Rhinolophus ferrumequinum: one gene and its partners. The protein of the gene in region 1 purifies or fractionates together with the protein of each later gene. This does not show direct contact. Links are inferred from orthologs where the notes say so. Each region holds a gene or a part of one and is shown in the gene's direction. Other genes may lie near its edges. The genes, in order: FBXW7, MED13L, NAP1L1 and PRR36.

Evidence for each region.
Region 2: the proteins of FBXW7 (region 1) and MED13L purify together in Homo sapiens (affinity purification with mass spectrometry; 4 studies listed by BioGRID, with this or other methods). This does not show direct contact. The link is inferred for Rhinolophus ferrumequinum from reciprocal best matches to the Homo sapiens genes FBXW7 and MED13L.
Region 3: the proteins of FBXW7 (region 1) and NAP1L1 purify together in Homo sapiens (affinity purification with mass spectrometry, with the first as the bait; 3 studies listed by BioGRID). This does not show direct contact. The link is inferred for Rhinolophus ferrumequinum from reciprocal best matches to the Homo sapiens genes FBXW7 and NAP1L1.
Region 4: the proteins of FBXW7 (region 1) and PRR36 purify together in Homo sapiens (affinity purification with mass spectrometry; 3 studies listed by BioGRID and IntAct, counting the BioPlex papers as one, with this or other methods). This does not show direct contact. The link is inferred for Rhinolophus ferrumequinum from reciprocal best matches to the Homo sapiens genes FBXW7 and PRR36.

What each region holds. Positions count from the first base shown.
Region 1 is NC_046301.1:23,865,103-23,872,462, reverse strand, and holds the start of FBXW7 (F-box/WD repeat-containing protein 7), read left to right. Parts: upstream 1-4,354; 5' UTR 4,355-4,523; coding exon 4,524-4,676; intron 4,677-7,360. UniProt on the Homo sapiens protein: Substrate recognition component of a SCF (SKP1-CUL1-F-box protein) E3 ubiquitin-protein ligase complex which mediates the ubiquitination and subsequent proteasomal degradation of target proteins.
Region 2 is NC_046308.1:10,238,462-10,246,178, reverse strand, and holds the start of MED13L (mediator of RNA polymerase II transcription subunit 13-like), read left to right. Parts: upstream 1-4,708; coding exon 4,709-4,780; intron 4,781-7,717. UniProt on the Homo sapiens protein: Component of the Mediator complex, a coactivator involved in the regulated transcription of nearly all RNA polymerase II-dependent genes.
Region 3 is NC_046293.1:70,495,114-70,502,342, reverse strand, and holds the start of NAP1L1 (nucleosome assembly protein 1-like 1), read left to right. Parts: upstream 1-4,215; 5' UTR 4,216-4,369; intron 4,370-7,229. UniProt on the Homo sapiens protein: Histone chaperone that plays a role in the nuclear import of H2A-H2B and nucleosome assembly.
Region 4 is NC_046301.1:56,861,103-56,868,369, reverse strand, and holds the start of PRR36 (proline-rich protein 36), read left to right. Parts: upstream 1-4,252; 5' UTR 4,253-5,042; intron 5,043-5,566; 5' UTR 5,567-5,573; coding exon 5,574-5,841; intron 5,842-5,954; coding exon 5,955-6,054; intron 6,055-6,298; coding exon 6,299-6,411; intron 6,412-6,508; coding exon 6,509-7,267.

The sequences.
Region 1 (7,360 bases):
TGAGGCATTTCCTGGCCATTTTGTCCTTCCTTCTGATTTTTTTTTTCCTCCTTAGCAGTTATCACCGTCTACTATAGTAAATATTTATTTTGTTTGTTGTGTGTCTTCTTCTCCCCCTGGAATAAACAAGTTCAGTGAAGGCAGGGGGATTTTTATCTGTTTTGTGTGTTGGTCCATCTTCATTACCTATATAACACATGGTAGGTGTGAGTAAATAGTTGAATAAGTGAATAAACGAATGAATGGGAACCAGAGCTCTTGAAAAACTGAGGACATGGGATTTGGCCAAGGACAGAACCAAGGAGAACCCCCTTGAAAATTAACCCTTTGGGACTTACCGAAGAAAATGTCGGCTAGTACTTACAAATTTAGGGGGTTAGATGCCATCTCTCCCTCATGGGACTGTAAAGCCTTAAAATATCAAACTTTCAACATAGTCTCAGCAGTAGGAATCGCTATAAAATAATTCAATTATACTGTAATTTCTCTGATTGTCTTTCATATAGTCTTAAAAGTTTTTCTTCCCTAATCATCTCTTTACTACTGAAAGGCAATCCCTTTTGGAGATGTCTTTTATTTAAAGTTTATGTATTCTCATGAAAAAAATTTTTTTTAAAACAATTGATTTTGTATAGGCAAGATGAATTTTAGAAACTGTTCTTACGGTTTCTTTTTATATTAAAAATATATAATCTTGCATTTTTCCTTTTCCCAACAACTGATTTTTTTTTTTTCAAGCTATATGTGTTTGCCAGCTAAATTTTAATGTCTTACTGCATGGACATCATAATTAGCAGTTATCTATTATACATCTTTTAAAAAAATAGATGTTAGTTTTCAACAGTACTGTGAGACACAGCTGGTAATAATTATACTCAATAATTAAGATGACTGAAAGTTGAATATTAAAATGACATCAGTGAAAATTCAGAAGCATTTTATATTTGATATTCTAAAGTGAATGCTTTTAGAATCATTGCTTTTAAAATTACTGAAGTTGTTTTTATAACCCCAAACTGTAAGCCTTGAATTAAGGAAAAATGTGAACAGAAATATCTAGTGAGTCTCAGTTTATTTGGCTTGGGACCCCTTTACATTCTTAAAAAACTATTGAAGACCTCAAAGAGCTTTGATTTATTTGGGTTATATCTCTCAATAGTTACCCTATTAGAAAGTAAAACTAAATTTTAAAAGTGTTCATTTATTAAATTCAATTAAAAGTAATAGCTAATTACATGTTAACACAATTAACATATTTTTTTTGGAAATAGCCATATTTTCCTGAAGTGAAATAATTAATGAGAAAGATGACATTGTTTTACATCTCTGCAAGTATCTTTGAAGTCTGGCTTAATGGAAGAAAGTTGAATTCTCATATTGGCTTATGCATTCAAGTCTCTATATATGATATGTCGTCTGAGGAAAACTTACTAGTGTGTACTCGAGACATGGATAGTGAAAAACACAATTAACATCTTAATATTATGAAAATAATTTTGATCTCGTAGACTCCATGTAATGGTCTCAGGGATCCCAAAGATTCATATTTTGAGAACTGCTAGAATTATTTCTCACGGGGATACTATATATGGCAGTAAAGAGTTTTAAATGAAAGAATAGTTTTAAAAAATACTCTCATATAGTAGTGTCCATTGGGTAAGTTTCTATTTGATACATTTTACTTTAGGGTAACTATTGAAGTTAGCTTGTGCTTACTTTATAAATTTGGGCATTGAGGGAGGATGGTCTGGTTTGTAAATTATACATCTTTTAGAGTGCCTTGTAGAATGGTTACCTTATTTCTCAGAGAAGTAGAAATTAATTAAATAGAAATAGATTGTTAAATTTTTGAAACAAGTTTTTGATATTTAGAGTTACTTAAAATTAAGGCGAAAAGCACAACTTTAAAATGCAGTTTATTTAAAAAATAATGTTGCTTCATTGTTATTGGTGAGCAAATATTAGTATTGTCTCTTTTTAAAAGTATCTATAGCTAGACTATTAAAGTTAAATATTAACCGTTTTTCCTAAACAATATTATGTTTCTTTTTCTGATAGTTTTTAAGGCTTTATTTTTATTGGTTTGCTGCCTTCTTCTATCTGTATGAATCAATAGTACATTAAATTAGTTGACACGGAAGGAAAAATAATATGTAATGAAAATAGCCCTTATTGCTTCCATTCTATTTTAATTATAACTAATATAAGATCCAGAGGGTATTGGTAGGAGGATGAGAGGGGTGAAGCATTACATGTCTAGTTATTTCACAAGTAATCTATACTTTGGGTCTTTTATTTCATAGTTTTGTTTAAAAACAACATTGATGCTGAGTAGCTAGCAATTCATAGCAAAATGCATTTGGTGGGGATTTTTATTGATGCTTGTCTGTAATATTAGGCGCAATGATTTATTTATAGGCTTTTGTTAATTATAAAGGTAATAAAAATCTCAAATTATTTGGGCATGTTATACATTTGTCGATAATAGAAATCATAGGAGGTTTTAATGCTCAGTACATTGTTCTACGTTAGGATGTTGTAGTAATGTTTTCATTACCTCTCTTGGCTTCCCAGTCTCGCACATTAGCTAGGAGGAGTGTGCATCAGCTGTAATAAGACCTTTCCCCAGTGTGTCTGACATGCATCTGAAAATATGACAGATTCTAGATTTTAGAAGTTCTGTTGTTAAATCGTATAAGCAACTTAAACTGATAGTACTTCGCATTTTCCACATAATGTGCTCTTTCGATGAATAGCTGTGAAGCAGCACGCAGGAAAAGCGGTTCTTGGCAATACCAGCTCAGTTGCATCTGCAGATGAGGATTTAAAATTCTATGCAGCAGACAGTACCTCCAGCAGGCGAGTAAAAGGTTACTGCATTATTTTGCTTGTTTGTTTCCACAGCCTTTATCTACAACAGGTTTTTTTAAAAAATTCAATGTGAAGTGCATGCCTGTTTTTAGATATTCTGGAAATTGATTTAAGTATAACATGATATCAAAAGGGCAGTGCAAGGTGAAGGAAGAGGCAATACTGGCTCTTTTTAGCTTTAAACCAAGGAAGAAATTGAGCGTGAGGCATGTACAAATAAAGAACCTTTCAATGCCACAGAACACAGGAAGTTTTTAAAATATACATTTTAATTCAAGGTGTTTCTTATTACATTTAGTTTTTAGACTATCTTCCTCAAAAAAGGGTCCTGTTAAAAAAGATTGATAATCGTAGGTCTGTGAATATTCACTAAGTTACAATTATTTGAAGTATGATTATTTGGGAAGACTATAACATATTTGTATTAATGTGACCCTCTCTTGTCCTGGAAATTATAATGTGGATTATAGTTACATGGTGTAAATAAATGCCTTTACACAGTATTGACAAAAAAGGATGCTTCAGTATAAAATATACTACAGTATGGCTAACATACTTAATACTTTTGCTTATATTTTTAGGGTGGTTTATATTTTTTGAATCTTTTTGATGAGATGCAAATAACCCAAGTTGGAGAAGATTCAGTGTCAAAACAACCAGATTTTTAATGGCTTTTCACTTATTATCAATACCTACCTATAGCCACAAGCCCTTTTTTTTCCTCATTAAAACTCTTCTAACATTTATGATGTCAGGGGACTCCTTGGCTTATCATTATCTATACCACTATTTTTACTGTAGAACTTTATTGCTCCATATTTCTCCAGCCTAAGTACAATATTCAGAGAGAATTTTTGCTATGCATATCAACGACCATCCTGCCCCCTCCCAGCAATACTCATAGATTTTTAATAGCTACTGTATAAATTTTGTTTTTTAAAAATTCTTATGCCTATGTTTCTGTGTTTTAGATTGACTTAATAAGATTGAAAATGATCCTGTAAATTAATCTATAATATACAAGTAAAATCAGTTGATTATTCTTACTGTGAGTGCTTGGCAGGCTTCTTGAATCGTGGAGTCATAAAAGGTCAGCAGTTCTGATTGGTAAGTTAAAGAATCCGTCCAGTAATTTGCTCCCTGTTGTTTCTCAGAGCAATGCAGCAGCAGTTCTTTTCCAGATATTGAGCGGTTCTTGAACAGTGTGTATGGGGACAGGGAGGGGTGGGGCTCATTCCTGTTGGTTGTTGAAATAGTGAGCATTTACAGAGGGAACAGGTTGGATAGGCTGAGCTAAAGGAGTAGGCAAACAGATCTAAACTGATGGAGGACAGAAAAAGTGGTTAGTATAATTTTGGGGTATATTATCTTGAGTTTGCTCCTTTGTTAAGGACTTGGGTTTTAATATAACACAGTTTGAAATATTAAAGCACCTTACCTTCTTTCTAAAGAGTAGCCGGGAGACTTCTGTTTTTAGTATCGAGTTCTTCTTGGCGATGAGTTTGTGGCTGGTACCTTCTGTAGGGAAGCTGTTTTATTCTTTTTTAACAGTGTTTCTTTCAGCCAGAGAGCTGCAGAATGAGGCATTTAGCCAATTTTGAGTATATATGGGACCTCACCAGTTCTGATTTTTAAAGTTAAATCCTCATCTAATGAGCAAGTCAATGTGTGGCTGTGGCTGCAGCATTATTTCTTCTTTAATGAAGAGGTTGAACCGTTCGACCTGCTGCTCCGATCTGTTCTCTTGTAGCCATACATCAGACCAGTTGCAGAGATTATCCATCGATTGTCCCAGGCAACCAAAGGTAACTACATAGATTTATTTCAAATAAAAATATACAATTAAAATGGATGCATTATAACTAGTACCAAATGATTAAAAATAAAAGACCAATTAAAGATATTCTTAGCAGTTTTCTTGACCTTGCAGTAGCTATCCAATATCATTTTGTCATCATCAGATTGTGTAGCAATGGAAATGCACTGCAGTAATTGATTTTGTAATAGGATCAGGTGATTTACTAGCTGCACTGACAACCACTTGCTTGCTTGCTCTGAGCTGTGGAGCGCTCTAATGGATGTTGTGATTGTAGCCTGGACTGGATGTGAGACTGCTAGCTACTTAAAGCAGCAGCACTTATTTTAAAAATTAGAAAGTAAGCTTTCCTTTTTCGTTTTCTTTGCTTTAGGTTTTGGGAGGCCTCAATAATTTTAGTTAATTTGAGTACCCCCGTGAACTTTTAGAGATTATATGTTATTTCATTCATCAATTCATAAAAAGTTCATTGGTACTAGTAGCCTTGAAAATAATGAAATACAATCTCTCTGCTCCCTACTCCTCGCTCAGCAGCAACAGATGTATCAACATATCTTGAAAATATAAGAATTTTTTTTAGCTACCGTATATTATCTAAATGAAACAAAATATTCTTAACATTTGCAAACTTCATCAGTTTCAAACTCTTGCTGTAAATATAATAATGGAATTATGGTAAATTCTTACACTAGTCGGTTGTGTTAGAATTGTTTTGTATCTTTTTGGCCTTTTGCATTCTTAATGGTTTCATGGATATAACAAGATTTAGGAAATCTGAGTTGGACCAATTCTAAGGAATATTGATGAAAACATATAGTAGCTATTTTATGAGACTGACGCGCTGCCTACTGCGCTAAGGAGGCAGGTTATAGTAGCTATTTTAAAGTAATGTTTAAGAATATAGCAAAGTAAAAACTTAATCTCCAAGAGTATGAATTTTCAGTGGTTATGTTTTTAATGATCTTCGTTTTCATATTTATTCTATGCCTTTTAAACAAATAATTGATTACAAATTTAGAAGCTTAGGACTAAAGCTTAAAGTAGAATAGAATATTCTACTGTTGCAGAAAGAAAAGACTTTGTCTACATTGAATTTTTGCTGAGTGGCTTGCATTAGGAAATAAAATTATCTCCCTTCTCTCCCTTCCTCACCAACTCCTCTACCTTTCTAGTTATCTAGTATGTAAAGTGTTTTTCACAGAATCTGACACAAAAACACTGAGTTCTCTGTCCTTCCCTAATTTATGTTCTTTAACCATGTTTATGTTCTTGCCATGATAGAGACACTATTTCTTCCAACCACATCTAAAAACACTTATATAAATTAAATATGTTTATAATTTGCTATAAAAGAAATTGGGCATAAGATTACCATTATATGGTATTGAAACTACCATGTGAAAAAAGCTTTTCTTTGCAATGTATTTAAATACTTGCCCTTAGTGTTTGAGGCCTAGTGTTTCTTAAAAGATGCAAATATTACCAGTGTCATTGTGTACTTTATCCTGAATTGAGATGCTTAAAACATTAATTATGGAAGACTGTAATATGATTTAAACACTAGTGTTTGTAATCTTTTATTATTCAATAGGTAATCACTTTATGCCCCACCTCCCCCCCGCAAAAAAAAAATACAAAACTCTGAACACTGATAATACTAACATAAGTATGTTAATGTCATTTGAGATTTGGTCAAGGATGTGTCTAAATTACAAATATTATTGAAATGTTAACTGGTAGGTTATCTACAAATTAGTCACTGATAAAAGTTTCAGTAGAATGATGTACATTAAAACTTTTTTGCAACGGGTTGAGCAAATAGAAGGAAAATAAGTGAATACCAGAGTGTTGACTATTTCTTTCTTAAAGATTGTTTAGAAGAGATGGAAGATACTATGATTGTTCTGTATTTATACAGTATTTCATTTAAAATAAATAAGCAGTATACTTTGTGAAGTTCTAGCCCCAGGGAACTGCCTGTTCTTACCTTGAAAGCCTACCTGTACTTGATTCAGCCAGGCTCTGCCACTAATCTACTTGATCAGTTTTATTTATGAACATGTTTAAGGTTCCTTAAACATACTCCTAAAATGTTCATTAAAAAGAAATCAATTTGCTCATACTAGTGTGAGGTGTGGTAATAGTTGACCTGGAAGCTGTAGAAGTTGGAGTTAGGAGGAAAGATCAAATTTTTTAAAGAATCGGTCTGTAGGTGATAATGAAATGCCTCCTTTCACTTTTCTTGTCTTTTGGGGGGGCGGCATGCTTTTGCCAAGAGCGCTGTTTTATCTTTTTGATATCCAGTATTCTCTAAATAGAATGCGTATTCTGAATAATTATCCTAGTTCTTAACAGAACAAATTTGGGATTAAATTCTGGAACTGCCAATTTTCCCCATGCTCTCTAACAAAGATAATGCTATTAAACAGCTTATTTTAGTACCTAGCATATTTTTTAGTAATCATTTTTTAAAAAGGTAGCCTTTATGTTATTAATTCTAGTGCTTACTCCTTATATGGCTTACCATATTGGCTGTGTGCACTCCTCTTTGTAGCCTAGGCAAAGTGATTTTTGGGTTGATTGAATAGGTACTTTCGAGATGATCATGTCATAATAATTATAACACGTATTTATGGAACCCTTAATTTGGACCAGAGGCTATACTAAGCACTT
Region 2 (7,717 bases), on another chromosome or scaffold:
CAGCTGTGGCAGCTTCCTGTGGTCTTTCTAATAGGTGGTTCCTCCTCTGGTTATATTTTTGCTTCCATTTTCTCTCTGCCATTACATTTGGTAACCATGAAAGGGAACTAACCTGTCATTCTCAGAGTGAGATCTGAGGCTAGTGCAGAGTGGAACGTCTGTTTCCTGTGTGGGCAGCAGGCATTCCGACACAGGGGGAAACCAAGTCATAAGGACGCCTGTGATGAGCACCCCTCCCCCACACCGAGGAAACTGGACTCCATATTCCGAGTGCCTGCTGCCTTGTTGCTTCCTCGTAGTCAGTTGATGGTTTTGTTTTGTTCGCCTTTCATCTTATCTCCTGAGGCTTTCCATCAACTCCCTTTGCTTTCTCTGTTGAGTAAGAACTCCGCGGATCTTTATCAGTCATCTCAACTGTTCAGAGAGTCAAAGAGTTTTGTTGCTAGAAATGACTGAAGGATTGCCCGGCTGCCCTTTTCACACATGAGGAAACTGAGGCCCAGAGAGGTTGAGTGGCTTGTCTAAGACGACAGGGCTGCTCAGTGGCGTGTCTGAGGCTAGAACCTCTGCTCCCTGCGTTCTCATTCTGTACTCACCTGGCAAGGACAATCACATGCTGTGCTCTGGCCTTTTCCACTCAGGGGCCTCGGCTTTGACAGTCAAAGAGATCGCCTCAGAGGAGGGTTTTTGTTTTTGTTTTTTGTTTGTCTTGTTTACTTGCTGATAAATGTACTTTTATGGTGCCATTTGATTATTCAGTTTTCATTTTTATTGATTGATTGATTGGTGGTGTTCATAACTTATTGCATTGAATAGATAATATACACAGTTTGGTAAAAAGAAAGGGGAAGGAAGGAAGGAAAGAAGGAAAGAAAGAAGAGGGAAGGATGGATAGAGGAGGGGGGGAGAGAGAGACAGAGAAGAGACAGAAAGGAAAAACAGCAAGTGAAAAGAAATTCCTCTCCTCATGCTGACTCCCGTCCCTAAAGGCAACTGATGTTACTACAATCTCCCAGGGATATCTCAATTAATAATCTATTTTTGAGATTATCCTATATTAGTACACATAGTGCTAACTCATTATTTTTAATGGTTACGTGGCATTAAATTATATTGTTAACCACTCCCTAAATGATGAACATGTAGGTTGCTGCCAGTTTTTGCTCTACAAACAGTACTACAGTTCATGTCCTTGCACACAGGTCTTTATATATCTACTCAAGTATCTCTGGAGGATAAACTCCTAGAAGTAGAATTGTTGGGTCACAGGATATGTGCATTATACATTTTGAAATTCTCCAAATTGACACCCAAAGCTGTGGTGCTAATTTGTATTTCTACTGGCAGTGCATAAGAGTTCTGCTCCTTCCACATTTGCCTAAGCTTTTAAAATATTGTCAGCACGTATTACGGTTTTAGTTTCTGTTTTTCTTATGATGAGTGTCTTAATGTTCGTGGGCTGCTGTAACAAATCACCATAGATTGGGTGGCTTAAACAACAGAAATTTATTTCTCACAGTTCTATAGGTTGGGAAGTCCAAGATCAAGGTGCTGGCCAATTTTATTCCTGGAAAGAGCCCTCTTCTTGGTCATGTCTTCACGGGTAAGGAAAGCAATCTCTCTCTTGTCTGTTCTTATAAGGGCACTAATCTCATCATGAGGGCTCCACCCTCATGACCTGGTTATCTGCCAAAGGACCCATCTCCAAATACCATCACTCTGGATATTAGGGTTTCAATATGAATTTTAGGGGGACACAAACATTCAGTCCATAGCACTGAGCGAGGCTGAGCATCTTTTAACATGTTTAAAAGCCATATGTCTTTCCTATTCTCTAAGTTGTTGATGTCCTTTGCTCATTTTTCTTCTAGGTTGCTCTGGGAGACCTTAAAAAGTTGAATCTAAACTTGCTGAACAAAGAGAATTTGGTGACCAAGTGTGTAGGATGAAGGCCTCCTGGGATGTAAATACACCTAGATATGACGGACCATCATACCGTCTCCTTGCTCAGTCCTAAGTAACACTGTGCATATTGATAAAGTGCTTTGGCTTTTTTTTCTAAACACTGTCACCACCAATCTCTTAATAGAAATGCACAACATTGACCTGAGGTCAGTGAGTCAGCAATTAGGATCTCTTTTTGACAGGTTAGGAAAGGAGGCTTAGAGAATTAAACGCAGTCCCCCCTTATCCACGAGGGATACATTCCAGGAACCCCACTGAATGGATGCCTGAAACCTCGGTTAATACCAAACTGTATATATACTCTATTTTTCTTACCTATGATATTTTAATTTATAAATTAGGCATAGTAAGAGATTAACAACACCTAATAATAAAATAGAACAACTATAACAATATATTACAATTAAAATGACTGTGATCTCTCTCTGATAACCGATCTGATAACCAAGTCGGCAGGTAGCATGTACAACATAGACATGGTAGACAAATAGGTGATTCATATCCCAGGCAGGACGGGGCAGAAAGGTGAGAGATTTCATCACACTACTTGGGTCTGTATGCAATTTAACGTAGGAATTATTTATTTCTGGAATTTTCCATTTAATATTTTTGGATCATTGTTGACCGTGGGTAACTAACTGAAACCGCAGATAAGGGGGACTACTGTATGTAGGTCAAGGTAACACAACCAGGGGTGCCCAAGCCAACTACAGGCACCTGCTCCTGGAGCCTTCTGGATTCAGGTCTGGGCTCTGGAGCTAGATAGACCCAGGTTTGAGTTACTCAGTAACTGGACAGCTTGGAGATGTCACTGCATGTCTGAGACTTATTTTAGGCTAAGGATAATAACAGTATCTTCTTTATGTGGTTGTTCTGAGGGTCATGTGCAATAATGTATGTATATTCGTTATAACATAGTGTCAGCCATGATAATACATTATAACATGCTGCTCATGCGTTTTCCTGTAGTAGTTATTTGTGGTAGTTCCAAAGCTCAATTCATGTGTGTAAGACTTCTTTTATTACACTCCATGTTCCTACTCTCTTTTAGTCCAATGCACCTAAAACAGCTGGCTTTTCCATGTTTTGGGGCTTGTTAGTGAAGTTGTTCTCTCCTCCCCACCTTTGCAGTGAGTAACCGGGAGACCCTTCTCATTCCCGCACTCCTCTGGACTCCCAGGCCATATGCGATCAGGAAATGTACATTATTGAATGAACGGAGCCAAGAGGGAGGGTCTGCTCCCAATACAGCCCTAGTACAGTGCCTGGCAGTTATATTCTGGAACAGAACAAGAGCTCAGGAAAGATTTATGCAATGAATGAATGAATGCACACAATGCCTAGCAGTAAGGGCTCAAAGGCATGTCTGTATTCCGTGCATATTGCCTCCTACACAGTAAGCGCTAAGTGGTAGCCATGTATATCCCTGGGCGAGGCTTATAAAACCTAGTGTAAGAGCTCAGCTTCACTGTGCATGGGTGCAGGGGTTCGAATTCCGCCTCCTCTTCCCCGCTATGCGACCTCGGCAAGTGACTTAATCTCTTTGACTTAATCTCTTTGTGCTTCAGTTTTCTCATCTGCAAAACGCGGACAACGGAGTGCGACCTCCACGAGACACTCCCCGTAGCATTTGAACCTCCTGCCTGGCTCACAGCGAGCCCCCGCCACGCCAGCCGGCCTGCGTCGATCGGGGGCACAGGCGAGGGAACTGGAGCTTTCCGTTGCGGCCGCCACCAGCGTTCCCAGGGCTCGCGGTCGCGCCCCGCAAAGATCTGTGCCCCCGAGGGGGCGGGGCGCGGCGCCCACGCGAAGCAGCCCACCGCAGCCTCGGCCCCGCCAGCCGCCGCCCGCCCGGGAGCCGCGCCACCCGCACTTCTTTCTCTCCTTCTCCGTCTTCCTCGGTCTCCCGGCCGGAGAACCCGGCCACGATTAGCTCAGCAGCGCCGCCCGCGAGCCGCCGGCGTGCCGCCGCCGCTCCGGCCCCTCCCCCGCCAGCCCCCGGCCCCCCCGCGCGGCCGGCGCCCGTCACGTGACTCGGCGCTAGCCAATGGCGGGCCGAGCCGCGGTCGGCGGCCGCCATTGCTGTCAGAGCGAGCGAGCCCGGGGAGGGAGGAGAAGCGAGGCTGACTGGGGAGGAGGGGGGGGTGGGGGAGGAAGAGGAAGGAGGGGACGTCGCTCGGCTGCCGGGGTCGCCCGCTGGCTTCGTCCGCACCCCCCCCTTCGCGAGTTCGCGCTCCGCGGCGGCGGCGGCTCCGAGGCGGCGGCGGCGGCTCCGGGGCTCGCCTCCCCTCACGCGCCGGCGGGGGCCGAGGGGGAGTCGGTGGCTGGAGATAAACAAGGCGGCGGCGGCGGCGGCTGAGGAACAGGGAAGGCGGAGGCGGCGGCCGGCCCGCAGCGCCAGCCCGGGAGGCAGCAGCGGCCCTGAGAAGCGGGGAGGGCGCCGGGCCGCGCGGACAGCGCCCCCCGCCGCCGCCGGAGCCGCGGGAGCCGCCGCCGCCGCCGCCCGAGCAGGAAGGAGCCGCGCGGCCGCCGCGGACCCCCCCGCCGGCCCGGGCCCGCCGCCCCCGGCGCGGCGTCGCCGCGGCGCCTGCCGCCAGCCCGCCGGCCCTCGCGCCCTCCCCCGGCGGCGGCGGCGGCCCGGCCGCCCCGCGCTCCCCAGCGAGGCGCCGCCGCCCGGCCCGGCCTCGCCTCGGACGCCTCGCTCCGACATGCCCCGCTCTGGCGGCCGGGCTCGCGGAGGATCATGACTGCGGCAGCGAACTGGGTGGCGAACGGGGCGAGCCTGGAGGATTGTCACTCCAACCTCTTCTCGCTGGTGAGTAGCCGGGCTGCGGGGAGGGGGGCCGTATTGGGGGGGGGGTCCACGACCTCCGCCGCCGACCAACTTTCTCCTCCCGCCGCCGGGACTTCGCCCCTCCCTCGCTTCTCCCCGCTGTTCGCCTCTTGCCGATTCTCCCCCTTTTGGATCGTCTCTCCCTCGCCTTGGATCCCATCCAGTGTTTATTTGGCTCTTTAAAAATCATTTGTGAGCGCGGCGCTCGGCGTGGAATTTGCATGTGGAAGTCTCAAAGCTGCTGATTCTGGGTCGCACTTCGAACGCCCACCCTCTGTTGCAATCACACCCCCCTTCCCCACCCCTTTCCCCCCTTTTTCCCCCTAAATGTGAAAGGCTTTGCCTTGTGCTGCCCGCGCCTGCGAAGCAGCCTTCTCCCCCCCCTTGTCGGATCGGCTGCTCGCCCGCCCGCCTTTTGAATTTTTTAAAAAAATTCCATAATGACACCTGCAATTTCGCCCCAAAACAGTTGATTGAATGCGATTGTGTCAGTAAAGGACTCTTGCACACGAAGCTCCCGCGATTGTAAACATCGACAGCCGCCTGCCTCTCGGGGCTTACTACGCTGGAGAGCCCTAAAGCCATTGCACCGAGCCGACGGAAGGTGGAGAAAGCTTTTTCTTTTTTCTCTCCTCCTGTGTCTTTTAAAAACTGTTTTCTCTATCCTGACAACGAATCCACACACACACAAAAAAGCAACAAGCTGGGCGGTTTGATAACATCGCTTTTATCTGCTTTCGCCTCTCTCGCGCGCTCTCTGATAATTGACAACTTTTCCTTCGGATTTGAATCGCCTGCCTTAATCTTGAAGCAGTTAGGGTGTCAATTGTTCTCCGGGAAGCCTGGCACCCGACGAAGGCGTCTAGATTCATCGAAATTAAAAATGTATAGGGCTCCAGCAACTCTTCCTTGGCGGTGGCAGTGACATTTGGTGGTAAATGCCATCTTTGCTTTTTATTGGGTCGTATTACCTAGCTCTGAAAACATTCACGTTGTTAAACCTGGCGTTTAGGCTAATAATGGCAGTGCGTGGTCTTTAAATATGTGCTTTGTGCATGAGTTACTGTATGTATAGCTATGTGCCCGGGAGACTACGAATTTGTTTAAATATTGAGCAAAGATTTGTAAACAGATGTAAGGCAATTATGTTTGAAGCGTAGAATATAATTGGAAAATTGGCTAAACGGTTTGTTTAATTTAGCCTTAAAAAAAAAACCCCAACTTATTTTAAGTTGCGTACCCTTTTTGGGGGGACTGCCTTTTGGACAGGATGCATTTTTGGAAATTGTTCTCTGTAACCTCTGCTGTAGATAGAAACATTATTTTCTCTTAATCCTTGTTTACACTGGATAAATAATTTAGTGTTGAAATTGTAATTACTTACACTTAATTATGAGTACCATAGATGCTTTTTTCTTTGAGACTAGTGGGTAAATACAAATTCTTGCCAACTTTTCAAATGTGTTATTTTATTAAATGTGTTTCATTATGCAGATAAAAAAATCAAAACGTGATTTTTATCTACAAGACTGGCATAGTATCCTTGCTTTCACTATAGTAAGATCAGGTCAACTTTTTTTTTCCCCCAGCATTTTTATTCAGATATTTAATCTTAAAATTCAATTATAAGTTGTGATTCTTCCTCTCAGTGCTGATGATTTTCACTTGATCTTTTGATATATGGGAATAAAACTCATTTTTCCTCTTCTTTCCTCCCTCTCAGTCTATCATTTAGTGTCAGTCAGGTTCAGGGACTTTCATAGATTAGCAAATATATTGATTAAGGGGTATTTAAAATGGTTTTTGTTTGGCGGCTGGTGACCACATTGACACTTTAACAGGTAATTAAAATAACCAAGTAGACCAATGTTAGTGAGAAGGGATCCTCCAAATTACCATATATCATGCTGACTGGTAATGTCTTCTATGTATGTGGCTGATTTATATACAGTAGATTTTGTAGACAAATGAAAGTGTATAATGTGTATAGCCAGTCTGTAGGATATATTTCTTTTTTTTTTTTTTAAGCTTAAGTAAGGATAATAATGTTAAAGAGATAAGATGATTGAGGTTCTTTTGGAGAAATAAACAATTTTATATGAGAGGATGCTGTGCTTTATGGCCTAATAAAGGTTTGTGCTTTGGATATTTCTGTCCTAAACCTCTTTAAACCAGGAATTGATTTTTGAATATACTTTTTTTTTTTTTAAACAGAATTACTCTTTAGTTTGCAATTTGGAAATTCAGAACTGCAGAAATGCATGAGTTGAAATTTTTTAAAGGACTGAAATGTCTACATTCACTTGTATGTGGCGGGTGGATAAGGTGCTAATTTTCTTAAAAAATTGTGACTCAGTTAAAAAGCTGCTGATTATTGTAAACGTTTCTCATTCCAAATTGAGAATTTTTCTTGAAAATCACACACAGCAACAACCTAGACTATTAAAAATATGTTGCCTAAAGTACATTGTATGGAATAATTAATTCCAAACGTGATAAAATCATCACCTGTTCAAAATAAAGCATGTATTGTAAGAACTCTATATACTTAATAATAGCGTATATTTTTCTTTTTGGTCTGCAGTTTTTTGAGCAGAGAAAAGTATTGTTTATAGAGAATTTACCCAGATACTCACATTTACATGGATTGAAATATAAACAGGACATTAAAGTCTGTACCACAGTAATGACCCACCAACTTTGTATTACCTTGAGGTGTTCATTATGGTTTAGCAAAAGTTGATTGTGCAATCAATCAGGTGCCTTAAGATTTTTGTTAGTCCTTTACTTATTTTGCTTTCTGATTTTCTACTGCATCAGTTTCTGTGGCATTAAATTTCCTAAATTCTCTGTCAAATCCTGCCCCCCTTTCCTAACATGAAAATGCCATTGTGTATACATGATATGGGTCATTGTATG
Region 3 (7,229 bases), on another chromosome or scaffold:
ACAAAGGACATGTGGGTTTGGGTGTTAAGTGCTCCAAGGAGGTAGCCCCTGTCATCCGTGGGGCCATCATCCTGGCCAAGCTCTCCGTTGTTTCTGTGCAGCGAGTCTACCGGGGAACAAGATGGGCAAGCCCCACACTGTCCTTTGTAAGGTGACCTGCAGCTGTGGCTCTGTGCTGTGCACCTCATCCCTGCCCCCAGAGGCACTGGCATCTCTCAGCTCCTGTGCCCAAGAAGCTGTTGATGATGGCTCATATTGTCAACTGTTCTACCTCAGCCAGGGGCTGCACTACCATGCTGGGCAACTTCTCCAAGGCCACCTTTGATAAGTCAAAGACCTGCAGCTCTTTCACCCCTGACCTCTGGACAGAGACTGTGTTCATCAAGTCTCCCTTCACGGACCATCTTGTAAAGACCCACACCAGAGATTCTGTGTAGAGAACCCAGGCTCCAGCTGTGGCCGCCACATAATTTATACAAGAAAAATAAAGTAAATTGATCCTGTTAAAAAGGAAAAAAAAAAAAAGAATTATTAAAGCACTTTACAGATGGGGAAAACCTAAGGGTCAGAGTGTACAGATACATGTGGGAGGTCAGAGATTTGGTTGAATCTACGCCTGTCTGACTTTCAAGCCTATGTATTTCCTACTACTTAGGGGCTGAAATACAGACACAGGCACACTTAAAATATCATCTCTGTCACTGTCTTATCTGGTTGATCTCTACAGTGTCTGTATTCAGTACTTAGAAATATGGGATATTGTACTTTTGTGATAATCAGTGTGGATCATTTCAGCTCAGGAAAACATGTTTCAAAATTTGTGACAAGATAGCTTTTGATAAAATATTTCACAAAAATGTGTTAGATACTATTAGAAGACTTACGGGAAGTTTCTCCAACCATTAATTAAAACAAAAACAAAAGTTTACGATGTAAGAGGTTTATGATGTTTAACTTTTGTTGCGTGTTTACTAAATGTCAGGTACCATGCTAAGCAATTTACACATTGCTTAAAATTTCACAACAAAATAGGGACAAAACTTGGGCTGTTTGACTCCCAAAGAGCCACACTTCTAAACCACCAGGCTTTTACAATGCTATAAAAATCTACCAACTGAAAATAATGGGAGATGAAGCAAAAAGGAAGTTTAACCGGAAGTTTAGCATGGTCCAAGGTCAGTGACCAGGGCCACAATTTATAGTAATTAGATGAGTTAGCTATATTGTGTGACTTGAGGGGTCAACGTGCAAATCTCAATGGTTTCTTTAGGTCAGTCATCTTCTACCCCTTTGTCTCATTTTATTTTCTTCATAGCACTTTCACTTACTAATATCTACAATTATTTCATTTCTCGTTTGTCACTTGCCCCACCTCACTGGAACGTAAGTTCAATAAAATCAAGAACCTTGTCTATCTTGTTCAATACTGTATTTCCAGTGTCTCAAGTTGTTTCCAACATATAACTATTTGTTGAATGAATGTATAAATGATTGGCCTTCCCTGGACTTAAGTAGCCAAGGTTTAGACTTACAAACTATGATTGAAAAGATCACATTAAAAGATATGCATTATTAGCACTTTATTAGTATTTCACTTTTAGGTTAGCTAGGACACCTTAAAAGAAAGGGAGGAGGAAGCTGGAGGAAAGAGCTGGAGAAGGGTGCTGTAGAAAAGGGGGAAATAATGTATATAAACTGGTAATGATAAGCCCTTAAATATGGGAGTGGGGGTTGAAACGTCAGAAATTTGGAGACTTTGGTCAGTGCCTGAAATTTGTGGGGGTCCCTGGAGTGGGACAGAAACCATCATGAAAGCTAACTTCTCAATTCAGTCTCATTAGTTCTACCACTGAAAAGGTTTATGGAAAGGAGAAAGCTATTTAGTTCATTTTTAATATGTTGATTATCTTGCATTATGTATAGCTTTGAATAAAATGCAGAGCGCTCTTGAGGCCTCCACTGAAATTAGTGCCAAGTGTATGTACATATTGGACACTGGCCTACCTAGTTTATGTTTTGTGGATTCTTCATGAGGAATCATCACTGATGTTATTATAATCCTTGTTAGCCTTACATCATTGTCAAGTATGACGTACATGAAGAAATAAGGTTGAGAAATACAAAAGAATCACACATGAAGAACAAAAATGAATGGATAAACTGAGCACCTGTCGCATGGAGTGGGAAAGGCAATGCATTTCAATGAGATATGGGAGTGAGGATTACAAAAGATGACTCCAGGCAGTTTGAAGTTTCAAGGGACGAAACATTTAGAGAAGAGGTTCTCAAATTTTTTGGTCTCAGGACCCCTTTACAGTTTTAAAAAACTGAGGATTACAAAGAACTTTTATGTGCATTACTGATATTTGTCATATTAGAATTAAAATTAAGAAGTTTTAAGAGTAGATTTTAAGAGTTGTTATTCATTATCTTATTTAAAAACAATAAGCCAATTAAATGTTAACATAAAGAATATTTTATACGAGAAACGTTGACCCCAAAACAGAAGATACCCACTAAGAAGGGCTCAAATTTAAAACCAGAGTTTCGCAACCATTTTCTAAATATTTCTCTCATATGCTTCAAGAAAAACCCTGTACTAAGCTGCCTCGCTCCCACATTAAGCCGTTTGCCTCCCGCCTGCCTCATAGCATATGATAAATATCAACCCTTTTAAAGGAGTTTCTGGAATCCCATTTCAACCAATAGGATTGAGACTTTCCCCATCCAATCAAAGCTGTACAACTCTATAAGCGAATGTATGTCACTGACCAATCAGAGCTGCTCCCTTTTAACCAAAGAGGACAGTGCTTTTTGGACCAATCAAACTGTGAGGATCTGAAGTCCTCATTTGCATGAAGATGGTCCAATCGGGGACCAGGAGTGGGTACCTCTCTCTGTATAAGTCAGCTCCCCAGTGGCTCAGAGAGAGCACTTTTCCTTTCCATTAAAGATTGTGCTTCGCTGGCTGGACCTGAAATACTGAAGAGGCTTGTGGACCTGGGAGAAGCAGAGGAGAACAGAGCTATCTATTAGAGAGGGGACTCTGCTCAGGCAGCCTCACAGTCCTGCTATTTCGTACATAATTAAACAGCTCTATAGCTATGCTGTATTAGGATTGAGCTATATGTAGTTTACCACAAATTGGGGGTTCCTGTTGTCATTGAATTGGCGCCAAGACCATGGTTTGACCAAAGTAACTATTTTTTAAAACACAAAAAGTTAGAATGGCATTGTTTTATATTTTTGCAAATCTCTCTCTGGTTTAACAGCAGATGGCTGGATCCTAATAGTTGCTTCTGTTTTCCATGTTTCCATATCACATGTCATGTAGCCTCTGGAAAACTGCACTGTGAGAGAATGAGCGTGCAAAAGGCAAATGACGCTTTAGTAAATATTAGGAAATACTTTTGACTTTCACCTGTGAAAGAGTCCGAGAATCCTCGGACCACACTTTGAGAACCACTATTTTAATATTAGTCATTATTAAAGTGGATATTGGTCAATCCTGCATCAGTTGAAAACTAGCCAAGCAATTTCACAGTCCTGAGGATTTACATAGGGTTTCCTTTTTCAGGAATATGAAACGACTGTCCTCATTATAAAGGATCCGGAGAATACACAAACATGCCATAAAACATCCGTCAAAAGAACTAAAGCGGAAATGAGGGATCGCACGTCAAGTAAAAGGATGTTGGAGTAAGAATGAGGAGCACCCCAGGAAGCCATGGAGGTCCACTGAGTGAGGAGAAGCAAAACCGGTAGAAGACTCCGCCAAAGGGAAAAAGTGGGCAGGGAGAGAAAATGGTTACGAGGAAGGGGAGTTGCAGGAATTAGGTTGGGAAGAGGACGGAAACTAAAGAGCACTCGCCCTAAGGATGCGGCAAGCCCACACGGGGCGGCTGGCCCCAACCTTCATCCCTCCCTGCACCACACTTAGGCGGGCGAGGTGGACCGGTCCAGGCGCCCGGGTCAGGGCCCTTCCCAGAGCGGGAGGGGTTGAGATTTCCTTTCAAGGTGAGGTGGGGGAAGAGTTGGCGGGTACGTAGTAGGGGGCGGCGGCAGGAACCCAAGGAACCTAAGCAAGGCGCAGAGGGTTGGAGGTCGCCAGGGAAGAAGGACAGTTCTGTTGCTATGCAACCCGCCCTAGGCCCGCCTCCCGCTCACGTTGCTAGGAGACGGCGAGGCCGGGGGAGGGCGGCTGAGCGGGCCCTACGTGCTGACGCTAATTGTATATGAGCGCGAGCAGCGGGCTCTCGGGTCTTTTTTAGCGCCATCTGCTCGCGGCGCCGCCTCCTGCTCCTCCCGCCGCTTCCCTGAGTCACTGTCTGCGCAGCTCCGGCCGCCTGGTTCCCCGTGCTGGCCACCGGTAACGGATGGGGGCCTGAAAGGGAAGGAGGAACGTAATGTCGGCCGGCTGGCCGGCGCGGAGGGGAGGGACGGGGGGATGGGGGACGGAACCGAGAGCAGCGGCTGCTGGCCGCTCCGGGCCTCTCGGCTCGTCCTAAGAGGTCAGAGCCGGAGCCGTCCGCGGAGTTTCGACCCCGTAGCCTGCGAGGCCGCTGGGATCGGCCGGCGCATTTTCCGGGAACGGGCTAAGAAGATGCGGGGGGTTGGTCGGCCCGGGAGGGTCGGGGGCCGTGCCAGTCTGCGCCGAGGTGCCCTGAGCTCCACCGGCCTCTACGCGCGGACGGGGGCGAGGCCGCGGCGTCGCCCAAGGCGCCCCGAAGAGGCGACGGCCGCGCCGCTAGGGGCCGGGAGGCTCCCGGGGTGCGGGCCGGGCGCGAGTGCCTAGTTTCCTGCCGCCTCGCTGTCCCAGCTTTCTCAAAACTAGTACCCGGAGAGAGGCCGCTGGGGAATGGAAAGAAAGGTGGAGGCTGCGAATTCCGATGGGAGGGAGGGGCTGTGAAGGGACGAGGCCCCGAGGCAGGGAGGGGGCGGGGAGGCTGCGAGGCTCTGGGGCTCTCCGCCCATTGGAGGCGGCGACCGTGCTGGGCGGGGAAACCCCGGCGGCTTCCTTCGACACGTGGCCGCCGCCTAGGACAGGTTGGCGACCCCTGTGTCTGTTGTCCTTACTGAAAGTTGTAGAGACGGTGGGATGTGAAAAGGAATAGTGAGCCCATAGGTTCAGCCCCTGGGTTTCAGACTCATCCCTGCTTCTCTTTGGTCTTCACCTTTTTATTGGTTCTGGAGGAAAGTACGAATGTTAGGTGATGGATAATGAAGCAGGGCCATCAGTGCTAGATGTTTAAAAGAATTAATGCTAATGTTAGTTGTTCTTAACAAAAGATTTTTTGTGTAGCTCAAGCCCAGTTAGAATTTGGATGGGTGTCTCTACCAGGCTTTTTTATTCGGGGAGAATTGATCCTAATCAGTGTAATCCTCTAAATGGTTCTAAGATGGCAATGCTAGAGGATTTAGTCTGCAATGTCTTTAATTTTTCAAGGACTAATATTTTCTTATAAATTTGTTCCTTTATTGTAGTTCCCAGAATGAGATACTCGCTCTTTTAAGATGAGTGGGGTATGGTGGAGAAACTAGGGAATGGAATGAATAGTTAATGTAAACTTATTGATCCAAGTTTGTAACCTGCTGCCTTATCAGTGACCCCACTTTTTCCTTAAGAAAGAAGGCAGTGAAGGGGGGTGGGAAAGGGAGTCCTATCTGGGAATGCTAGGGTTTCAGTACAAAAAATGAACTGAGTGCAGGATGTCCTCAAGGAACCCGTATTTTAGACCATCACTGTCTGATTAGTTACTTTTGTAATGAAAACACCGCTTGCCTGGTTTGTGGAGAGCTGAGCTTTAAAACGAAATTTGCCATTTTTGAATTTAGCATCAAAATAGCGTTTCAAATTAGTATTTAGGTCTTATTTTCTTGTCAACTTGAATTAATACTACTTCTACATTTATTTTACTTAGGAAATAATATACATTCTCTTTTTTTTTTTAAGGATTTTTATTGGGGAAGGGGAACAGACTATTGGGGACAGTGTACTTCAGGCCTTTTTTTTTTTTCCCAAGTCAAGTTGTCCTTTCAATCTTACTTGTGTAGGGTGCTGTTCAGCTTCAAGGTGTTGCCCTTTCATTCTTAGTTGTGGAGGGTGCAGCTCAGCTCCAGGTCCAGTTGCCATTTATTTCTAGTGGCAGGTGGCACAGTCCACCATCCCTTGCGGGAGTCGAACTGGCAACCTTGTGGTTGAGAAGACGCGCTCCAACGGAGCCATCCGGGAGCTCAGCGGCAGCTCAGCTCAAGGTGCCGTGTTCAATCTTAGTTGCAGCGGGCGCTGCCCACCATCCCTTGTGGGACTCGAGGAATTGAACTGGCAACCTTGTGGTTGAGAGCCCACTGGCCCATGTGGGAATCGAACCGGCAGCTGTCGGAGTTAGGAGCATGGAGCTCTAACCGCCTGAGCCACCGGGCCTGCCCCACATTATCTTTGAATAAGGGGAAAACTTTATACTGTAAATCCTCAATGTCATGGATAGGTTCTTTGACTTTAAGCGAAACGATGTATAAGGAAACCAGTGTTAGGAAAGGCTAATGGTTATCAACAAGGGTTAAGTTGTCAGAGTATCTAATCAACTTTGACATTGAATGAAACCATGATAATTGAAAACCTGTTGTATGTAGATTAACTTATTTAAAATTGATAGGAGGTAAAAGAGGTTTACAGTGATCTGGGAGTACTAAGTCTCAAATGCTTGTTCAAAGTTGTCCGAGTTCAAATGCGCCAAATCTAAAATGTGCGATTCACTTTTTAAGAAAGATAGAGGGTAGGTGAAATTAAACATTGGTAGGTCTGTTTGGACATGTAATATAAAAAGCTTGACTTCATTGTCTTTTCAGGTCAATGTTACGTTGATTTTGTAAATAGTTTTTAAAAATTCACTATACCTGTTTGAAAATCGATAAATTTTATGTGTTGCAAAGTATCTATTTTTGATGTTGGGTCTATTAACAGAGAACGTTATTAAGCTAATACTAAATGTGGTGTTTGACTGTCTTTGTCCTCTAGAGACTGAAAAAACAAAATGAAAAAATAACCATTTGCACCAGAACTAATTTAATCCAAAATGCTGTTGCTTGTTTCATTATTTACTTGACTTGCCCATAGTATCCACTTGACTGATTTGATTCTAAACATCCCAAAATTTGTTAAATATACAGTCTTTTGTAGGAAAGGGGGCTAAAAGAGGCAGAATCTGTTCAGCTTCAAGGTACTGAAG
Region 4 (7,267 bases), about 33 Mb from region 1:
GGCGGGACAGGAGCCGGGAGCCGCCCCACCCGCCCCGCCCACCTGACGTCTCGGCCCTGCCTCCCTCAGGGCGCTCCCAGGTGGCCCCCGACTCCTGGCGCCCGGGGATCCCTGGAGGAGGGCGACCCTAATCCTGGTCTTCCCGAGGTGGGCCAGGGCCCGGCCCCAGGAGCAGGGCCTTGAACTCAGGGCTTGGCTGCCATGGGGCAGAAACTGGACTGGTACATACTGAAGGGGTCGGAGGCACTGCGCACCCAAAGTCAGCCTGCAACATCCTTCTGGGAACCTGGGGAAGGCCTCCTCCTGCCCCCACCCCAAGGTGCAGCCACCTGGTTTTGAGGAACCTGCAACCAAGGTCCACGGGAGAGGGAGGGGGCTTCCCTGACCACCCACCCAGGAAAGCCAACCTGGGGGGTAGGGTGGGGAGGTAAGGGGAAGGGCGTGGATGGGAGGTGCTCGCCTGTCCGACCCTGCCCAGCCTTGAGGCTGGCTTTCCACTGGGGGAAGATGGGAGTTAGCTGCTCCCAGGTCCTTAGGTGGGGGTGGGGGGGTGCAGAGGCCAGAGGGGCTCTGGGTGCTGGGGCTAGAGTCCAGTCTGGGAGGCTGGCTTCTAGAAAGGATGATTCTGCCTCCCCACCCCACTCTTCTCCCTCGTGCTCACCCTTTCCTCCCTACCCAGGGAGGCTTGCTCTCGGTCTTAGACTAGCCAAAGGACCGATTCAGCCCACAGGTCTGTGTGAATGAACCTTGATCTGCTTTGTCTGCAAAACAAAGAGGATTTAGACTAGAGTGGGAGCGTGAGACCCCTCCCCCACTTGGCCCCAGAGTTCACCAGATCAGCAGCCTCCTGAGACCTGATACCTTGAAGGTTGGAACGCCCTAAACTTAGGTTCCTCTGTGAAACCCTGCAATGGGTGCTACCCTCTAGGACTCAACCTCTGTAAAGTCCTGGGTTATCCTCTCCTTCAATGGCCTCTTCTTGCCTCCAGAGAAGCGCCTTGGTTTCCATGCCCTGAGGTTTGTTTCCAGCTTGGTTTTGGAATGAACATCCAGCTTGGCACCCTTATGCAAGAGTCTGAGGTCACTGGGCTGGAAGCCTCATTAGCCCCAGACACGGGTCCCTTCTGTTCCCTGCTGTGTCCCCAGCACTTGAAATGGTGCCAGACACACAGTTGTGGGCATTCAGTTAATGATGGATGGGTGGATGATCGAGGTGTTATCTTAATTGTGGATTTTCTGGTTGCAAACCCTGAGACAAAGAATTGGGTGCAAATAGTTCATCTGGAAGGTGATCCCCGCTAGCACTAATGGTGGGGCAGTGGGGAGATGAGACTGGGAAGGGAGGGGAGCAGCAAGCCTTAATGAGGGTACATCAGTAAGGATGAATGAGAAGGTTGCTACTGTGGGCAACCGGGGCTCCCTTCTTCTGAGGAGCTCTGGGCAGTGGTGGAAGGCACACCTCCCCAGTTGTCCCACCCAAGGGACGAGGGAGTTGAAATATTGATGCGCAGGTCCTGTCTGTCTTGGCTGAGGGTTGCTCTGGAGAAGGGGGATGCAGGGGTGTTACCTCCCTGGCACTTCTGACTTTCCCTGCACGTGGGGACTGTGGGTGTTCAGGTTATACAGAGGGGGCGTGCTGCTGCAGTACAGACACGAGTGGAAAGCCTGGGTCATAAGACACACACACGCACAATGCTTTCCAGTTGTTCTCCAGAAAGGCTGCCCTCTTTACGTTCCCATTGGTAATGTGTGGATTTTCCCACATGGATAATACCCAGCCTTTAAAAAAAATTGTGGGAAAATACATATAACATAGAATTTACCATCTTAGAGGTGGTTGGTTAGCTCAGTTGGTTAGAGCGCAGTGCTCTTAACAACAAAGTTGCCAGTTCAATCCCTGTATGGGCCACTGTGAACTGCACCCTCCACAACTACATTGAAACAATTTCTTGACTTGGAGCTCATGGGTCCTGGGAAAAACACACTTAAAAAAACCCCAGAATTTACCATCTTTACCATTTTTTTTCTTTCTTTTTTCTTTTCCCAAGTCAAGTTGTTGTCCTTTCAATCTTAGTTGTGGAGGGTGCAGCTCAGCTCTAGGTCTAGTTGCCGTTGCTAGTTGCAGGGGGTGGAGCCCACCATCCCTTGCGGGAGTCCAGGAATCGAACCGGCAACCTTGTGGTTGAGAGCCCACTGGCCCATGTGGGAATCGAACTGGCAGCCTTCAGAGTTAGGAGCATGGAGCTCCACCCTCCTGAGCCAGGGGCCAGCCCTCTTAACCATTTTTAAGTGTACAACTCAGTGGCATTGAGTGCACTCACAATGTTGTGGAACCATCGCCACCATCCATCTCCAGAACTTCCTCTTCTTCCCAAACTGACACTCTGTCCCCATTAAACATTAACTCCGCTCCCCAGCCTCTGGCTCCATCATCTACTTCCTGTCTCTATGAATCTGACTCCTCTGGGGACCTCATATAAGGGGAATCACACAGTGTGTGTCCGCCTGTGTCTGGCTTTTCTCACTGAGCATCATGTCCTCAGGGTTCGTCCATGTTGTAGCAGGTGTCAGACTTTCCTTCTTTTTTAAGGCTGAATAATCTTCCATTGTATGGATGGACCACATTTTGTTTATGCACTCATCCATCGATGGGCACTTGGGTTGTTTCCACCTTTCGGCCATTGTGGATAATGCTGCTGTGAACAAGAGAGTGTAAATCTCTTGGAGTACCTGCTTTCAATTCTTTAGGTGGAATTGCTGCTTTATGTAGTTCTCTGTTAATTTTTTGAGGACCCTCCACACTGTCTTTCACATTTTTACATTCCCACCAATACAAGGTTTTCCATTTCTCCACATTTTCACCAACACTTGCAATTAATACCCAGCTTCTAAGGTTTTGTGACCCTCAGATAGTTAGCTAGCTGCATAACAAATTACCCCCAAATCTAGCAGCTTGAAACAACAAGCGTTCATTATCTCACCCAGTTTCTGAGGGTCAGGAATCTGAGAGTGACTACAATGGGTGGTCCAACAGTCTCCCTCCCTCACCGGCCCACAGAAACCACTGATTTGCTTTCTGTCATTATAGATTAGCTTGCATTTTCCAGAATGTTCCATAAATGGAATCATACAATGAAGGCTCTGTGTGTGTGTGTGTGTGTGTGTGTGTTTCTGTGTGTGTGTCTTCTTTTGTTCAGCAGAATGTTTTTGAGATGTGTCCCTGTTTTGGGTGTCTTGGTGGCTTGTTGCTTTTATTGCTGAGTATTCCATTGTAGGGTATGTTTGCTTTGTGCAATTCATCCCCCTGTTGGTGGACCAAATTTGAGGAATGTTCTCATATGAGGGTAGAGTCCAGATCTCATTGAAATTCAGGATGGGTTCAATTAAGTCTTGGAGGGACCCTTGCACCATAGAAAATAGGAGGGCAGGCCTCTGGGCAGCAGATATGACTCAGGAGGGCACTGCTGGTGGACGGGTGGGCGAGGAGGCAGGGGCACCAGACAGCTGTCATGCCAGAGGGGCTCACACAGGTGACCTTCAGTAGACCTGGGAAGGAGGGGAGGCCTAGAATGACCCAATACGGAGGGGAGTGCCGTGATGGACTGAGAAGCATCTCTCCTAGGCTGGAGGGAGGGTTCATGGAAACGATGGGTTCTGAAGATCGCTCCTACTGGTCAAAGCAGGGTATTTAGTTCTAAGCCTGGCCTCTCTCTCTCTCTCTCTCTCTCTCTCTCTCTCTCTCTTTCTTTCTTCCATTCCCTGAACCTGAATCAAGAAAATCCAAACCCCTGCTTCCGGCCACACCTGAGTGTTCTGGGCCGATTCCAGGCTACTAATCACCAATGTTGTGGCTGGACCAGCCCTGGTGGTTATTATGATTGTAAGATACCTTGTAGGACCTGGAAATTACATAGCACACCTGGGGCCACACAGTGTGCTTATGGGAGGATGGGGGAGAGAAGAGGCGAGAGGGAGAGAAAAAGAGAGAGAATGAAAGTAAGTGACCTGGGGTTTTGCTTTTGTTGGGGTAGAGAGTGTGGGAGCCTAGGGTTTTGTGAGCTCACTCTTTATTGATGAATTTAAAGCACGGGAAGAAAACAAAAGTGCTCCAGTTATTGAAATCAACCAAGATCGTCTCTGCTCCTTTATGCGCCCGTTTTGACACCTCCCAAACTCTCATAATCTTGGTCCCCCAAAGCCTGGCTCTGCTAGGAAGCCTTTACTGACCTGACCTCGCCTCTTCATGTGACCTAGGAGGGTGTGGAGGTTGGGGGTGCCCTGCCTTGCAGCAGACTGGCTTACCTCTCACCATACTCAGTCTCTCTCTCTCCCTCTCGACCTTCCTTTCTTCCTCTCTTCTCCCAAATCCGGGTTCTGCCCCTAAATTCCCAGGGATGCATTCTCCCAGTAGTCCCCCCATACCGGGTAGGGTTCTTGCTGGGGTCTGGGAAAAGCCTTTGTGTTTGGGAGGGGCGGATGCCTCCAGCGACCCTGGAAGGCCCGGCCTCCGGAGAGCGGCTGCGGCTGGATTGGTCGACGGGGCGGGAGGTGCTATGGTCCCGCCCCCTAGTTGCCAGGGTCCAGCCTATCCCTTCAGGCGAGCCTCGGTCTCCAGGTGGTTGTGGGGGCCGGGACAGGTGTGTGTGGGGGTGTGGGGGTGGAGAGGCGGTGGGCAGGACGTGTGTGTGTGTTTGTGTGTGTGTGTGTGTCTGTGTGTGAATTCCTTCTTCCTCCGAATCCCCTCGGGTTGGGTAGCGGGTACTCTGGCGCAGCCGCGGAGTAGCCGCCCCTCCCTCCAGCGCGCGCCTCAGTCCGCGCCTCCGTCCGCACCACCCTGGCGCGCTCCCGCCGCCTCCCGGGTCTGGATCCGGCGCGTGCGCCCGGGTCTCCCCAGCCCGCAGCGGAGGGGCGGGCCCGGCTCTCGGCGCCACAGCCCGCAGCCCCCTCCTCTCGCCTGTCCGCTGCTCGCGGCCGCCGAGGCGCTGCCACCTAGCCCCACCCTAGGCGACCCTGCGTGGAGCCGCGGGAGACCCGAGCGGGAGGTGAGAGCCGCGGCAGCAGGTGGAGGGGGCGGCGCGGCCCGGGTCCGGCTGGGGGAGGGGGACGCGCTCGTTACGCGGTTCTTTGTCTCCCCGAGCCAGTGCGCGGGCAGCCGGAGTTGCTCCTCCCGGCAGGTGCCGGCGTCCCTCGGGCTGGCGAGGGGACCCGGGAGTACGCTCCATCCCCATCCCATCTGGAGTCTGTAGCAGCCCCCAGTCCCCGAGGCTGGTGGTCTAGGGGTAGGGGCGTGGATCTTGGATCCCGAAGGGGAGCAGAAGCAGGAGGGTGGGGAGGTGGGCTGGGGCAGGCAGGGTCTGGTGGAGGGCGATGGGGGTGGGACTTGGGGAAAATCATGAGCAGCTCGGCCGGTGTGTAGGTGGGTGAGAGGGAAGTGGATGGAGGCCGAGGTTTGGGCGCCTATGGGTGGCGACGCTGGGGAAGCTGCAGCTAGGTGCCAGGAACAGGTCCCTGCAGGCTGCGTAACGGTCCAGGATCTGGGATGCTGACCAGTCTGTCTTCTCATTAGGTACAGGATGGACAAGAGGGACAAGTCCAGGGCAGGGACCGCCGCGCGGACGCCGGCTTCTCGCCCTCCCGGCCTTCCGACCCCTAGGCCCCCAGGGTCTCCACGACCCCCTCCTCCTGTAACCGGCGCAGCCCTCCGAGTTCTGGGAGCAGCGGGAGCTGCAGGGCGAGGGCCCCTGGCTGACAGAGCCGGGGGCATCCGGGCAGCCGCTCTCCCGGAAGCAACTCCTCGCGTGGGACCCATGCGGAGCCCCGGGACAGGTCCCCGGAGCCCAGGTACCCCTCTTTCCCCGATTCCAACCCCGTATCCCTGCCCCCCTTTCCTTCCGAGGCACCAGCCTCTCCCTGCTTTCCCGGATCACCGCATAGACTGGACCTTTTTCCGGCAGCCTCCAGGACCCCAGCGGCGGGGCGAGGTGAGCGAACTTCGGCCAAGACCTCGAGTCTGGGTTCTATCTCTATCCCAGGAAGTGCCAGTGGGACCACCAGGTAACACGCCTTACCCCCTTCCTTAGGCAAAGGTTAGTATCACTCTCTGGAACCTTTTAATTTTATACATGAATTGGGGCGTGGGAACACTTGCAGATCACTGGGCTCAAATTGGGTGAAAGCCATTCTTGGTAGGCAGTGAGCCCATATACCCCATTTCACAGATGGCAAAATGTGGACATGGGAGGTCAAACAAGGAGGGGGTGGCTCTACCCTGAATACCCTCTATCACCACCACCCCCAGGGTAGGTCTTCTTGGGCAGAAGGGGCTCCGGCTCCCAGCTGAAGAACCTGTGGGCAGAGGAAGAACTCCAGAAGCTCCCAGAAGAAGCACCGTGAATGCAGGGGCCCGGAGAGGTACATTTCCTGGGCAGGGAGGAGCAGGGCTCCTGGGCAGTGAGGGGGACCAGCCTGAGAATATCGATGACCCTTTGGCCTTCTGCTTTATCCCCAGACTCTTCCGGGCCCACCCCAAACGTCCCCTCTCCAGCCAGCTCCCGTCGGACCCGAGGTGCGGGCGCTGAGGGGGGGCTTCCCCGGGCAGCCTCGAGTGCCCGTCCCCGGGCCCAGATTGAGGTCCCCAGGAAATCAGTGAGCAGCACCCTAGAGCGCAGCAGCACCGCGGAGCCAAGCTCTGCCGCCAGGAGGCGACCCAGCGCCGGCGGGGGCCTCCAGAGGCCAGCCTCGCGCCCCCTGGGCTCCAGCATCACCCCTTTGTCCTCCCCAGCCCGCTCTGGGGCCTCGCTGGGTGGAACACCCCGGGCTCTGGGGCACCCTTCGCAGCCCAAATCGAAAGGGCTGCAAGCTCTGCGCCCCCCGCAGGCCGCACCCCTAAGGAAGGGCGCAGCCAACCTGCAGAGCCTTTCTCCTTTGGCCACATCATCTCCTCCCTGTCCAAACGCACAGCTGGCACTGCCTACCGATATCACAGCCACTCCTTTGCAGGATGCGCTCCCGCCCTCTCCACCGACCACGCCTCCTTCCCAGGCGCTTACAAGTACTTTGGCCACGCCCTTCCCACTAGCCCCTCCTCCCTCTGCTCCACTCTCTCTGCAGGCCCTCCCCTCTCCGCCGGCCACACCCCCTTTGCAAGCTCCACCCATACACCTGAGTACATCCTTTCCCGAGGCACCCGCCTATCCCACGGCCACTTTTCTGGCTCCATTCTCTCCTGCAGGTTCACCCCTTCTGCAGAGTACACCCCCCACCCAGA